Linked DNA regions of Coturnix japonica. Each later gene encodes a partner of the first gene's protein in a complex. Links are inferred from orthologs where the notes say so. Each region holds a gene or a part of one and is shown in the gene's direction. Other genes may lie near its edges.

What was found.
Region 2: the proteins of small ubiquitin-related modifier 3 (region 1) and USPL1 are in contact, whole or in part, in a crystal structure (PDB 7ZJU), measured with the Homo sapiens proteins. The link is inferred for Coturnix japonica from reciprocal best matches to the Homo sapiens genes SUMO3 and USPL1. Residues at the interface, in NP_008867.2 of Homo sapiens: Gln24, Asp25, Gly26, Ser27, Val28, Arg58, Arg60, Gly63, Gln64, Pro65, Ile66, Asn67, Asp70, Leu75, Phe86, Gln87, Gln89, Thr90, Gly91; in NP_005791.3 of Homo sapiens: Ala234, Cys236, Trp237, Pro321, Gln322, Leu323, Arg324, Met330, Glu331, Ser332, Val334, Phe335, Leu339, Tyr368, Thr378, Thr380, His393, Phe394, Gly395, Pro396, Asn398, Arg407, His421, Val423, Tyr451, Asn454, Asn455, His456, Phe457, His493.
Region 3: the proteins of small ubiquitin-related modifier 3 (region 1) and SENP2 are in contact, whole or in part, in a crystal structure (PDB 2IO1), measured with the Homo sapiens proteins. The link is inferred for Coturnix japonica from reciprocal best matches to the Homo sapiens genes SUMO3 and SENP2. Residues at the interface, in NP_008867.2 of Homo sapiens: Arg55, Arg58, Arg60, Phe61, Asp62, Gly63, Pro65, Asn67, Asp70, Leu75, Asp81, Asp84, Phe86, Gln87, Gln88, Gln89, Thr90, Gly91, Gly92, Val93, Pro94, Glu95; in NP_067640.2 of Homo sapiens: Gln385, Asp386, Phe393, Lys394, Leu395, Arg396, Trp410, Leu411, Asn412, Asp413, Glu414, Ser439, Thr440, Phe441, Pro444, Lys445, Arg456, Trp457, Lys459, His474, Lys476, Val477, His478, Trp479, Met497, Gln499, Gln542, Asn544, Gly545, Ser546.

What each region holds. Positions count from the first base shown.
Region 1 is NC_029524.1:3,983,890-3,988,039, forward strand, and holds small ubiquitin-related modifier 3, read left to right. Parts: upstream 1-1,496; 5' UTR 1,497-1,618; coding exon 1,619-1,639; intron 1,640-1,765; coding exon 1,766-1,894; intron 1,895-2,469; coding exon 2,470-2,541; intron 2,542-2,964; coding exon 2,965-3,027; 3' UTR 3,028-3,641; downstream 3,642-4,150. Other genes in the region: PTTG1IP (pituitary tumor-transforming gene 1 protein-interacting protein), read left to right, coding at 117-163, 578-621; UBE2G2 (ubiquitin-conjugating enzyme E2 G2), read left to right, coding at 3,866-3,908. UniProt on the Homo sapiens protein: Ubiquitin-like protein which can be covalently attached to target lysines either as a monomer or as a lysine-linked polymer. Does not seem to be involved in protein degradation and may function as an antagonist of ubiquitin in the degradation process.
Region 2 is NC_029516.1:156,627,266-156,630,804, reverse strand, and holds part of USPL1 (SUMO-specific isopeptidase USPL1), read left to right. Parts: exon of another isoform or gene 1-991; 5' UTR 992-1,062; coding exon 1,063-1,158; intron 1,159-1,720; coding exon 1,721-1,849; intron 1,850-2,939; coding exon 2,940-3,539. UniProt on the Homo sapiens protein: SUMO-specific isopeptidase involved in protein desumoylation. Specifically binds SUMO proteins with a higher affinity for SUMO2 and SUMO3 which it cleaves more efficiently. Also able to process full-length SUMO proteins to their mature forms.
Region 3 is NC_029524.1:3,359,064-3,362,602, reverse strand, and holds part of SENP2 (sentrin-specific protease 2), read left to right. Parts: intron 1-691; coding exon 692-737; intron 738-973; coding exon 974-1,034; intron 1,035-1,174; coding exon 1,175-1,315; intron 1,316-1,414; coding exon 1,415-1,546; intron 1,547-1,831; coding exon 1,832-2,035; intron 2,036-2,166; coding exon 2,167-2,246; intron 2,247-2,607; coding exon 2,608-2,692; intron 2,693-2,945; coding exon 2,946-3,041; intron 3,042-3,270; coding exon 3,271-3,333; 3' UTR 3,334-3,539. UniProt on the Homo sapiens protein: Protease that catalyzes two essential functions in the SUMO pathway.

The sequences.
Region 1 (4,150 bases):
GGGAGACCAGCAGCCTGAGGGCTCCCTCCACCCTGGGAGGGAGCTGGGAGCTGGAGCTCCTCCTTGGCTGTGTTCTGCTGGTCACTCGTGGTTTCTTTCCTGTTTGTTTCTTACAGGAGAGCAGAGATGAAGTCACGGCACGATGAAATCCGAAGAAAATACGGTACAGTCGTTTGCAGTAGCAAATTACACTAAGCTTTAGAGTTGTAGAATCGTTTAAAATTAGAAAGAGCTCTGGGATAACTACTCCAACCATTTAGCCATGTCTGTGGCAGCTCTAGACTGTGTTCCTCAGTGTGACCATCCCAGTTCCCTCAGCTGCTCCCCATCACACTTTATGCCCCAGACCCCTCAGCTCTGCTGGACACACATCCTCCTTGTAGTGAAGGGTCCAGGACTGAACACAGAGCTTGATGTATATCCCATGAGGGGTAGGAGTTGAGGTGGTGTGGGCGCATCCTTCCATGAGGACAATAGTACAATAGTCTCTAGAGCAGGATGGTGAGCAGAGGATGGTTAGTGAAAGAATTGTCACCCAGAGCAATGAGTGACTCTCAGTGTCTCTCTTTTCTTCCAGGCCTGTTCAAGGAGGAGAACCCTTATGCAAAATTTGAGAACTAGCCTCTCTGGATCTGCCCCACCTGGTGAATGGCGTCCTCCTTCTAGACCCACCTCACTCTGGGTTGCTTTCTAGGAGCCCCCTATGGTGCCACATGCTGCCACAAGCCCTGCTCAGTGACTCCCCCCATTCCCCACTCCAGTTCTCAGCTTGCCCTGGGCTTTTGCTGCAGAGGCTGTGCCAGGATCAGCTGCAGTGCCAGGATCAGCTGCAGTGCCTGGCCGGGCTGGAACCTCACTCTGTGCCTGGAAACTTGGTGGCAATAACACTGGGGCTTCACACTCCTCCTTTACTCACCTGGGGGTGGCAGCACAGCACAATACAACACGGTGCCTGGCTGAGGTGGCCTAGTGTGTCTTCCTTCTGCCTTATGCAAAGCTGGGTGCGTGCATTGTGATGCTCATGTCCCTGTGTGCAGCAGTGGCTCAGGGGTGCCCTGTCTGCCTGCAGCTCTATGCATACACTCACACACCAGCACCAGTTTCTCGCTGCCTTGGGCCTTTGGGGGCAGGCCCTAAATGCACGCTTCACTTGCAACTAATCCAGGGACCCTCCACAGCCCCCTCTACCTCTGTGCCTTATATTGATCATCTCCTGGGCTCGGTGCCTGTTACTGATTGCAATACGGTAGGGTTCTGATGCGATGTGGTCAAGATGTATTAAATCGATTTGATTACTATCCCAACGTGAGCGCTTTATTCTGAAGGGCAGGAGCCGGTGCTGCGCTCGGTGCAGTTCTCTGGCCGCCCGCTGGGGGGCGCTATAGCCGTACTGGGCCGTATCCAGTGACGCACTTTCTAGAGCCGCCGCGCCGCGCGCTGTCGCTCACCCTCCTCCTTCCCACGTGATCAGCCGTGCGGCCAATCAGAACGCGGGATTGCTGGCGCGGGGTGGCGGGGGCGCGGCTCGGCGCGCGCTCTCGCGGTCGGTGGTTGTTGGCGGCGGGAGCAGCGCGGGACGGGCCCGAACCGAACCCAACCCCGGGCCCGACCCTCCGCCATGTCGGAGGAGAAGCCCAAGGTGAGCAGGGCTGGGGCTCTGCGGGCACGGGGCGGGCCGTAGGATGAGCTATGGGGGGATAAGGGGGGGAGGGTCGGGCCTGGCACTGCGATGATCGCCGCTCTCGTCCGGTTTGTCCCCCCTCAGGAAGGAGTGAAGACAGAGAACGACCACATCAACCTGAAGGTGGCCGGGCAGGACGGCTCCGTCGTGCAGTTCAAGATCAAGCGGCACACGCCTCTCAGCAAGCTGATGAAGGCCTACTGCGAGCGGCAGGTGTGTGTACAACGGGGCCACAGCCAGCACTGAGTGCGGGCAGCGCTGTGTGTGTGTGCTGCTGCACGTGGAGCCCTTCCTCTGCTTCCACACTCCTAAAGCTCTGCCCCATCCCTGCACCTGACCTTACCTGGACCTGAGCAAGGCCTTTAACATGGTCCCCCATCACATCCTCATCTCCAAATTGGAGGGAGGTGGATTTGATGGGTGGACAACTAGATGGATAAGCAATTGGTTGAAAGGCCGCAGACAGAGGGTGGTGGTCAATGGCTCTATGTCCAGGTGGAGGCCGGTAACGAGCGGCATCCCCCAGGGATCTGTCCTGAGACCGGTTTTCTTTAACATCTCTATCAATGACATCTACGATGGAATGGAGTGCGCCCTCACTGCCACAGCATCCATCCGGCAGCTCTGCACCCTCCTGTACAGCAACAGAGGCATGAAGTTCCCCATCTGCTTATATTACATGTTAATTTAGTTAATATGCGTCCCGGCACTAAATCAGTCAGTGCTTTGTTTGGATTCAGACGTGTCTCGGTTTGGTTCCTCACATGTGTCACTCTGTATATTGGCAGGGTTTGTCCATGAGGCAGATCAGATTCAGATTCGACGGGCAGCCGATTAATGAAGCAGACACACCTGCACAGGTATGAAAGGTGCTTTTAGTGCAGATCATTTTGTGCTTCTTCTTCAGTCTCTTCCATATGTGTTTTATGCTGGCTGGGGTGGGAGATGTGCATGAACAGATGGTGCCAAACACACTGGCACCTGTGTGCTGCTGTGGGCAGGACCTGGAGGGAGTGCTGAGCTCTTCAGCTCTGTCCCATGTCTGGATACAGCCAGGACTAAAGCTGGGTGCTGTAGCTGCTGCCAGCTCAGTCAGCGCTCAGAATTTAAGGGTTTTCTTGCATTGACGAGGCCTGAGGTGAGGAACAGAAGAAACACATCTGAGTTGGTTGCTTTTAGATGGCTGGGTTCTGAGTCTGCTTTGAAATAGAGATCTCAAAACCTGTGTAACTCTATTATAAGTTTATGGTTGTGAACTCGTGTTCTCCGTATCACCCTCACAGCTGGAGATGGAAGACGAAGACACTATCGATGTGTTCCAGCAGCAGACGGGCGGGCTGTGCTAAGACATGGCATCCTTTGGAGCACAGAGGCTCCTCATCGCACCTCGCTCTCATCTGTCCTTGGATTTGCTATCAAATAGTGAACAAATGAACACGCCGATCACACGGGATTCTCGGAAACCTTAGAGGACATTTACCCAAAATCGCTTGTTGTCTTTGACGTACTGCGTGTGCAAGTCGACACAGTATCTGCAGGGATTCATCTCTTATCTTTAATTGGGCCCAGTTGATTTTTGAGTTCCGATTCAGTGCTACACGTTGTCTGTCTGTCTGCTGTTTCCTGGTTTATTCCCTTTCAAACCTGTGGCCTAAATAACCCTGTCCGTGTTTGAGGACATGGAGTGCATTCCTGGCTGTCAGCCCTGCCCCTCTGTTCCATCCTACCCTTGTAAATAAGTCTATTTTCATGCCGATCTCAAGCTTAATGAGTCTCATTGTTTTAAAAGAGGAGGAAGAAGACGCTGATTGAAGTCGCTGGGAAACGTGAAGCCCACGACACGAGGTCTGTACGTGCGAGACGCAATGCTCCGTATAGACAGTTTGGAAGATTGCAGATTGACATGTGCTTTGTCATGATTTGATAAAGTTGTCTGAAATATACTTTTTTAATGCACAAACGAGAAGTGTCCTGAATGGAAGGGGGGGGGTGGGGTGAGCAGAGCAGCTGGGCTGAGAGGGCCCGCCCACAACTCGCTGGTGCTACTGCGCATGCGCTGGGAGGACTCAGCCCCCCCCCCCCCCCCTTTACCATAGAGGCGGAGTGCTAGCGCGCCCCCTATCTACTTCCTCCCCTCCAGCCCGCCCGGAAGCGGCGCGGGGCCGGGGCGCTGCGGGCCGCGCTATGGCGGGTACGGCGTTAAAGAGGCTGATGGCCGAGTATAAACGTGAGTAGCGGGGCGGGGCTGGGGACTATGGGGACGGCTGGGTGTGGGGCTGAGCGTGTTTGGGGTGGGGGTGGGGGGGCTCGGCCCAGAGCACAGGAGCTGAGCGGAGGCCTCGTGGCAGCTGCAGCTCATAGGGAGCAGATGGGCAGCGCTGAGCTCAGCTCGGTGTGACAGCGACAGGGCCCGAGGGAACGGCATGGAGCTGTGCTGGGGAGGGGGCACCGACAGGGTGTGACACAGCT
Region 2 (3,539 bases), on another chromosome or scaffold:
AAGGCAGTAACCTTGATGACTTTGCTGTTCAACTTATCTCTCTTCCTCCTGACTCTTAAAGTGCGATATATTGATTGTAGTTATTCTTCCATTTGAAATCAGCAGGAACAGTGTTCGGTCCTTGTAGTTTTACACCAGTTTCTCTAGCTGATTCAGGTTGTTAGTACCAGTGCCAGCGAGGGAATGGTCTCAGGCAGGTTTAAGGAGCAGCTTGCTGATGTGTGCTCTGTTTGTATTGAAGTCTTCCTCCACCAACGTGTGTGTGTATGATAGGTGAGAAAGAAATAAATTGGCCTTGAATTCAAGAAAGCATACAAAGTGGAATGTGTGATGTCAGTTGTAAAATATGCAGTAGATTTATGAAGCAGTGATGCTGCAGAAGAGCTTGTATTTGCAAGTCGGTCTATGACACTGTTAAAGTAAGGGGAGAGGTTTCCCAACAGTGACAGTAACAGCAGGGTGCCCTTTGGAGTTGGAAGTGATTACATTTACAAGCTAAACTTCTTATCGTTCATTATGCACCAATTTTACTTCTCAGAAAACTGATGAAATGGTGTTTGGGCTTTTAATGATTTCTTTTTTCATTAGTATTCCTCCACAGCTTTCTGTAACTGTGTAAGATCTCGTTGCCATTTTGTAAAGGAAATTAGTTTTGTCTGAGAGTTAGAATATAGTAAGTCAAGCTGCTTGGGCAAGGCATCTCTGCCCAGCATAGCACACGTGGCAAATAAGTGGGATGGTGGGCATGCAGACAGTGGATAAGTTTATAAACTCATAGCCTAAAGCTGTTAAGTTTAGTATGTGACTTAATTTAAAGTTTTGAGTTCAGTATATGTGCTAGAAAATATGTATTTTGCATCAAGAAAGCACTCTTCTAATGTCATTACTGCAGTTAGTACGGGCTGCATTACTGTTGGTGTATTTTTCCCCCCCAAAAAATAAAATTAACTGAATTTTTCTTTAATTGTTGTATTCACTTCTTATTTTTCAGGAGTCTTTGAAAAATCCTTAGTGGTCATGACATTGTTACAAGTGAGATAAATTAGCCAGTGGCTCAGAGGGATGGATACCCAGAAGACTGCAAATGGTTTGCGAGTGATTGGACAAGGGACTGGTATAGGGAAATCGACACTCCACATGGTGGGGTATTTGGGAAAAGTCAGTTGAAACTTATTTTACATCTGTGCAAAGTTCATATTTTTTTAATTGGTCTTATTTTACAAAAAAAAAATTAAAATAAAAATTAAAAAAAACCAAACCTCAAAATTATTTTCCACGGAAATCTGTAACAATGGCGAAAGATTCTAAATAGATCTGTGTCTGAACTTTTTACTGGTGCTGTTTCTGTGACTGTGTATTTCTGCGTATATTACTTCTTATAGCAAGTATCTGAGCATGTGTACCTTGGCAATAAGGCTCCTTTGGTTTAGTGTAAGTAGAATGAAACGCTGCATAGTTGTATTGTCGAAGATACCTTACTACATATTTGAACGCTTAAATCAAAAGATAAATTTGTGTAGATTGTTCTGCACTATGACTATATATATATATATCTTATTTTACAAGGAGAAAACTTAGTCTGCTTTACTCTTTAATACTGTATTAGGTGTTACATGCTTAGAAGCTAGTCTTTGCTTTTCTATCTCTGTGTGTATATATGTCTTAACTTGGGACACTATACTAACAAATGTAAGTTTATGCAACTTTCTCCTTTTTTTAGGGGCATACTCCCGTGGAAAAAACTTCACCTGACTATTGTCCAGTCTGCAAAGAGAAGGGCCAGGTTCAAGTTTTACGGACTTACCGCATCAATTTTCAAGAGTCCATTTATCTCTGTGAAAACCCTCAGGTATTACTTCGTTAGCAGTTTTGTTTGCTGGTGTAGAGACCTTTGCCGTTAACTGTTAAACATCTTTAAGTTCAGGATTTGACTGGTAGTAAGCAGACTGTTGACAAAGGATGCTTTTGATTTTATATTCTGAATGGTGTTTGCTTGTAATATAGACAAAAACATAGCAAACCTCTATATGTGTGGCGGTTGGGCACAGCTGTTCCGAAGAGTTAAAAGAGCAGATTAAAAGGAATAAGGTAGAGTTTGTTTCACGCAACAAGGGGACATGAGTGATGCTAAATAAATCTTTGTATGAACCAGAATGCAAAGCCAAAATTGGCAAATGCAATTAACTAATGTTTTACTCATAGAGCTGTGAGTCTCTGATTTTCTCATGTTTAAGTAATACATATAGGTTTATAATAGTAATTACGGTATCTTTCAGCACTTATTCCATTTTAAGTTCAGCTTTAGCTAGATTTCTGGGCTTCTCAATATCTGAGTGGTGGTTTGCTGCTTCTCCCTTCTGCTGTGTGGGGAGGGAGGGTAAGCAAAATCATGTAGAATGGTGCCCTTAAATTAGTAGAATTAATGGACTAGATGTCTTCAAGCTGTGTCCTCCATCCCTCACCCTGCTTTTAAATAACCAAGCTGTTGGCTTGGGAAATGGGAAGTCGTGTGTTTGCCTTTATTTTCCCAGTTGCATATTTATATGACCCTACCAATTAGTGGTCTAAAGTAGCAGGCTAAGCTGAAAGAGACCCTGCCAGTTTTAATCCTAGTAATCTCTTGAGCAAGAGTTAGTAATATCAAATACGTGCCCTACTGGAATGGATTTTGCAGAGTGAGAGAACTCTGCAGTCCCAGTGTCTTACTGGGACTGGAAGTCACTACTCGTAGATACACTTCACAGTTAACTATAAGACAGTACTTGGATAAAAATGCTCAGTTTCTCTTGCATACATTGAATTTATGTACTCGTTTCAATGAAGTATCATTTCATGCAAGTCCTACATTCCATTTCAAGATATCATTTGTGGTTATTTTAGCTCCTGTTCACCTGAAATTGCTTTCTGTATTTCATTGTAACTTTTCTTTTTTCCTGTAGTGTATCTACCCGCTTGGCTACAAACCATTTAACAGCATAATCATTTCTGCTGATTCAGAAAATCTTCAAGTTCCATCTAATGACAAGAAAAGGAAATTGTGTGATACCAATGACCTTTCTCCCATCGAATCAAATCCAAAACAAGCAAGAACTAATAAAAAAGTTGAGCAGACTATTAATACAGACCCTGTTGTTAAAAACTGTGGTGATAGCTTGAGTATCCCTCAGTCAAGTGTATGTGACGTGTTAGAAAATGGCCAACAAAAATCTAATAGTGAGGAATCCATCAATCAGAAGGTGGATTTTAAAACAACCTCCAACACCAATGGTCATCAAGAGAGTCCGCCTAAGAACTTTAGCTCTGGAACACAACTCTTGCCCAACTCTACTCACAGCTCAACAACATCTGAAGTTTTGTTCAGAGACAAGAACTGTTCCACAAATAACACAGGTTTATGTCTTCAGTGGAGAAACAAGTGTAATCTTTGTTGGTTAGATTGTGTTTTGTCTGCACTGGTACACTTAGAAGCGTTAAAATTTGCTCTAGTAGAAGATGATGAAAAATGTTTACTCCAAAGGCTCTTGACAAAATATAATCAA
Region 3 (3,539 bases), about 620 kb from region 1:
TCTTAGAACAATATGACCACATCCATGATATCAGAGCTTGAACACTAAGCCAGCTGTTACAGTCTGAAAGATTAACACAGCAGAAAGGCGATATAGAAATGAAATAGCAAAAGGGACTAGCATGAAATGAGATAATGTTACAAAAGAAAAAGCACTCACCTGTCTCTGAAGATGTAGGCTCACAAGGGAGTGATCTCCGACCAGGGATCTTTCCCCCCCTGGCAGTCAGCCCTTAAACGGGGTCTAAGAGAGGTGCAGCCAGGCTCCACCTCTTCCAGTCTCACAGCTTCATTGCTTTCACCTGTGCTCCCCGGGCTGGCCAGGTCCTTTCCCAGGTGCTCAATCAGTGGTTCAGGCTGGGACTCAGCAGTTCCTATAAACCAGCAGATTGCTTCTTTCCTGGATTAGCACAGCACCTCTCTTTATAACAAGTTAGTTTCTCTTGTAGATCATCTTTTCTGGTAAGCTGAAGAATGTAACTACTGAAAGTGACTTTAGATCCTGGACATCAGAACTCATACACTTTCACATAATATCTAGGAGGCCTATTTGACAGAGTTTAAACTTCATAACCTTGTAGTTATTATTAGCAGGGTTGTTGGGTTTTTTTTTGTCTTTTCCATCATAATCTGAGAGTCATGCTTGCCTGATGTACATTAACTGTTGACTTCTTGTATGCTTTTTTGTGCAGATGATGACAGCAGCTCAAGCCAGTCTCTGGAAAACGATGAGACCAGGTAGAGTCTTGATTCCTCTTTGGTTTTGTTCTGTGTGTTCCAGCAGTGTCCAGAAAGAGAATAGTCATACTCATCTCAATGATGTGGCTCGTGTCTTGTTGCAGTAAGCACAGCCAGTGAGAGAGATTTTTGTATAGCTGATCTATGGTAACGCATTCCTTAACCAGAAGATGGATGTATAAGAACTATGCAGGATGATATTACTACAGCCTGCTTCTCTCTATTTCCTTTTGCAGTTACTACACACCAGAAGAAAAGGAAGACAAGAAAGGACAGGAGAAACAAGCCAGCACAGGGGTAAGCTTGTTATTTAGATGTATGTGGAGTATGGATGCATATTCAAAACACACTTCCAGTTTTATACATGAACAAGACTTTGTGTAATCCCCTAGCAAATTTGCTTGCTAGCTTGACTTCTTTTTGTCTAACTGAGACAGTGTGGAGATGAAAGCTCAGAGGAGGCCTCCTTTGAATTGCACCTGGCACCTGTTCAGACCAAAAAACCATCTGTCTATGATGTGGAAGAAAAGAAATTCCCAAGACCTAAAAAAAGAGAAATCTTTCCTCCGCTCACAGAGGTACCACAATTATCAGTCTGTTGTTCAAATTAGAAAGCTAGAATTAGAACATAGGTTAGTGTGCTCACAGGTTCTTTCCCATTCAATTGCTTGCTTCAGGCCATGGAGAGAGAGATCATGGCTGCGCTGGGCGAAGGTAAAGGGGAGGAGATCATGAGCAGCGCCTTCAGACTCAGTCTCACCCGTGATGACATCCATACACTGAATGAACTTTGCTGGCTAAATGATGAGGTAAAACTAGCTGTGGCACTGTGATGTTCCCATTGTGTATGTCTTTTTAAATGTCCTCAATGCATACAGGTCTGATTGCAGTTATTTGAGGTCTGCAGAACTTATAAACATCTGTCGAGTCTTATTTTAGGTACATAACGGCTGAGTGTTTCTAGAAGCTCCTGTATTTCTTGGGTTGGTCTAGAAGTTAGTCTTCTGGAAGCATTGCTTCTCTGGTTTTGTGCTTTTTGGTTTTTATTTTGGTGAGCAGTCTCTTACATCTCATGATTGCTTTTTACCATGCAGGTCGTTAACTTCTACATGAATCTTCTGGTGGAAAGAGGCAAAAAAGATGACTATCCAACCGTCTATGCTTTTAGTACTTTCTTCTATCCCAAACTTGATTCTGATGGCTACAGAGCAGTGAGAAGATGGACCAGAAACGTGAATCTGTTCAACCAGGACATCATTTTGATTCCTATTCACCTGAGATCACACTGGACCTTGGTGGTGAGTCATGCTTTTATTTCAATTGAAGAATTAAGCAGGTAGAAAGCAAGCAAGCAAGAAATGTCGGCCAGCTTTTGTTCTGTTTGCTGCATAGGCTTGTGGGGTGTCTCATGGTTACTTTCCATTAACAGGTTGTCGATGTCAGAAAGAAAACTATCACCTACTTTGACTCGTTTGGAAAAAAAGGAAACAAGATTTGTGAGACTGTACTGTAAGTAACTGCTCGCTCAGTGCTTTTGCACTGTGAGCTCAGAGAAGGCTTTTAGGTTTCTGTATCTGTAACACAACTGGAAGCCTTTGCTTTGTTTGTAGCTAGGGAATAGAAACCGTTCTCACATCACCTCCTCCATGTGTGATACATGTCTGGGTTTCCAGTATGTGCATGTGCAAAGCATCACCATGAAGTGTATGCAGACTTAAAGTTTGAATTGCTCCTCCAAATGCCTTATGGCACTAAATATCCACTGATGTTTTATTGTCCAGCCATTTGGCTTCCTGTGGTCTTTTCAGCATCTCTTTTTTGTCAGCCTAAAATACAGAGGTGAAGAGTTGTTTTATTTTGTTTTAAACAGCCAATACCTGCAAGAAGAAAGCTGGGAGAAACAAAAAGTCAAGCTGTCATCTTCAGAGTGGACTCTTCGCAGCATGGAGCCTCATGTATGTGAGCACTACCGGGATCTGAAATGTGAACCCCTAACTCCTCATTACAAAGGCCTTAATGCTTTCTTACTTAGTCTAAGCTTTAAAGGGGTGTGAAGGTGTGGTTCACTGGGTGTACTCCTTGTGTGTGGGGATGGGCTGTGCATGTTGGTTCCACAAGAAAATGTGGTGGTGGTGGTGGGTGGTGCTGCCTCCAAGTCGCTTTTCTTTTAAGATGGAAAAAATTCTCCACCTTCTTTCCATTCTTTAGGAAATTCCTCAGCAATCAAATGGAAGTGACTGCGGAGTTTTTATGTGCAAATACGCAGATTACGTCTCCAGAGACAAACCCTTCACCTTCACTCAGGTGAGCCAAAGTTAGAGTTTGCCTTAAGCTGTTGTTAATAGTCAAATAAACGTGGTTGTGTTTCATCCCTGCAGCACCAAAGCGGGGGTGAGACATAGCAGTCCACGCTGTACTCACAGTGGCCGCGGTGACGGTGCTTAAAATGAACTTGGTGTGAAAGAACACGGTATGTATTTTCTGTCAATTTCTGCTATCATATTTAATGGGTTTGTTCTCTTCTTCTTTTCAGGAAAACATGCCTTACTTCCGCAAGAGGATGGTGTGGGAAATAATCCACCAGCAGCTGCTGTGAGACGTGAAGCGTTACGAGTATCGCCGCAGATGACCTCGGAGCCACTAACTTATATTTTGTCATATTATTTATTTCTGCGATGCCTTATTGAACCAGGCCGCAGCCACTTGAAAATGTTCCTGTTTTAAGCTATAAAGTATTGTTTAACTGTTTTTTCCTCAATTTCGGAGACAGTGCCTCTCTTTGAAATGAGCTGATGTGCCTTG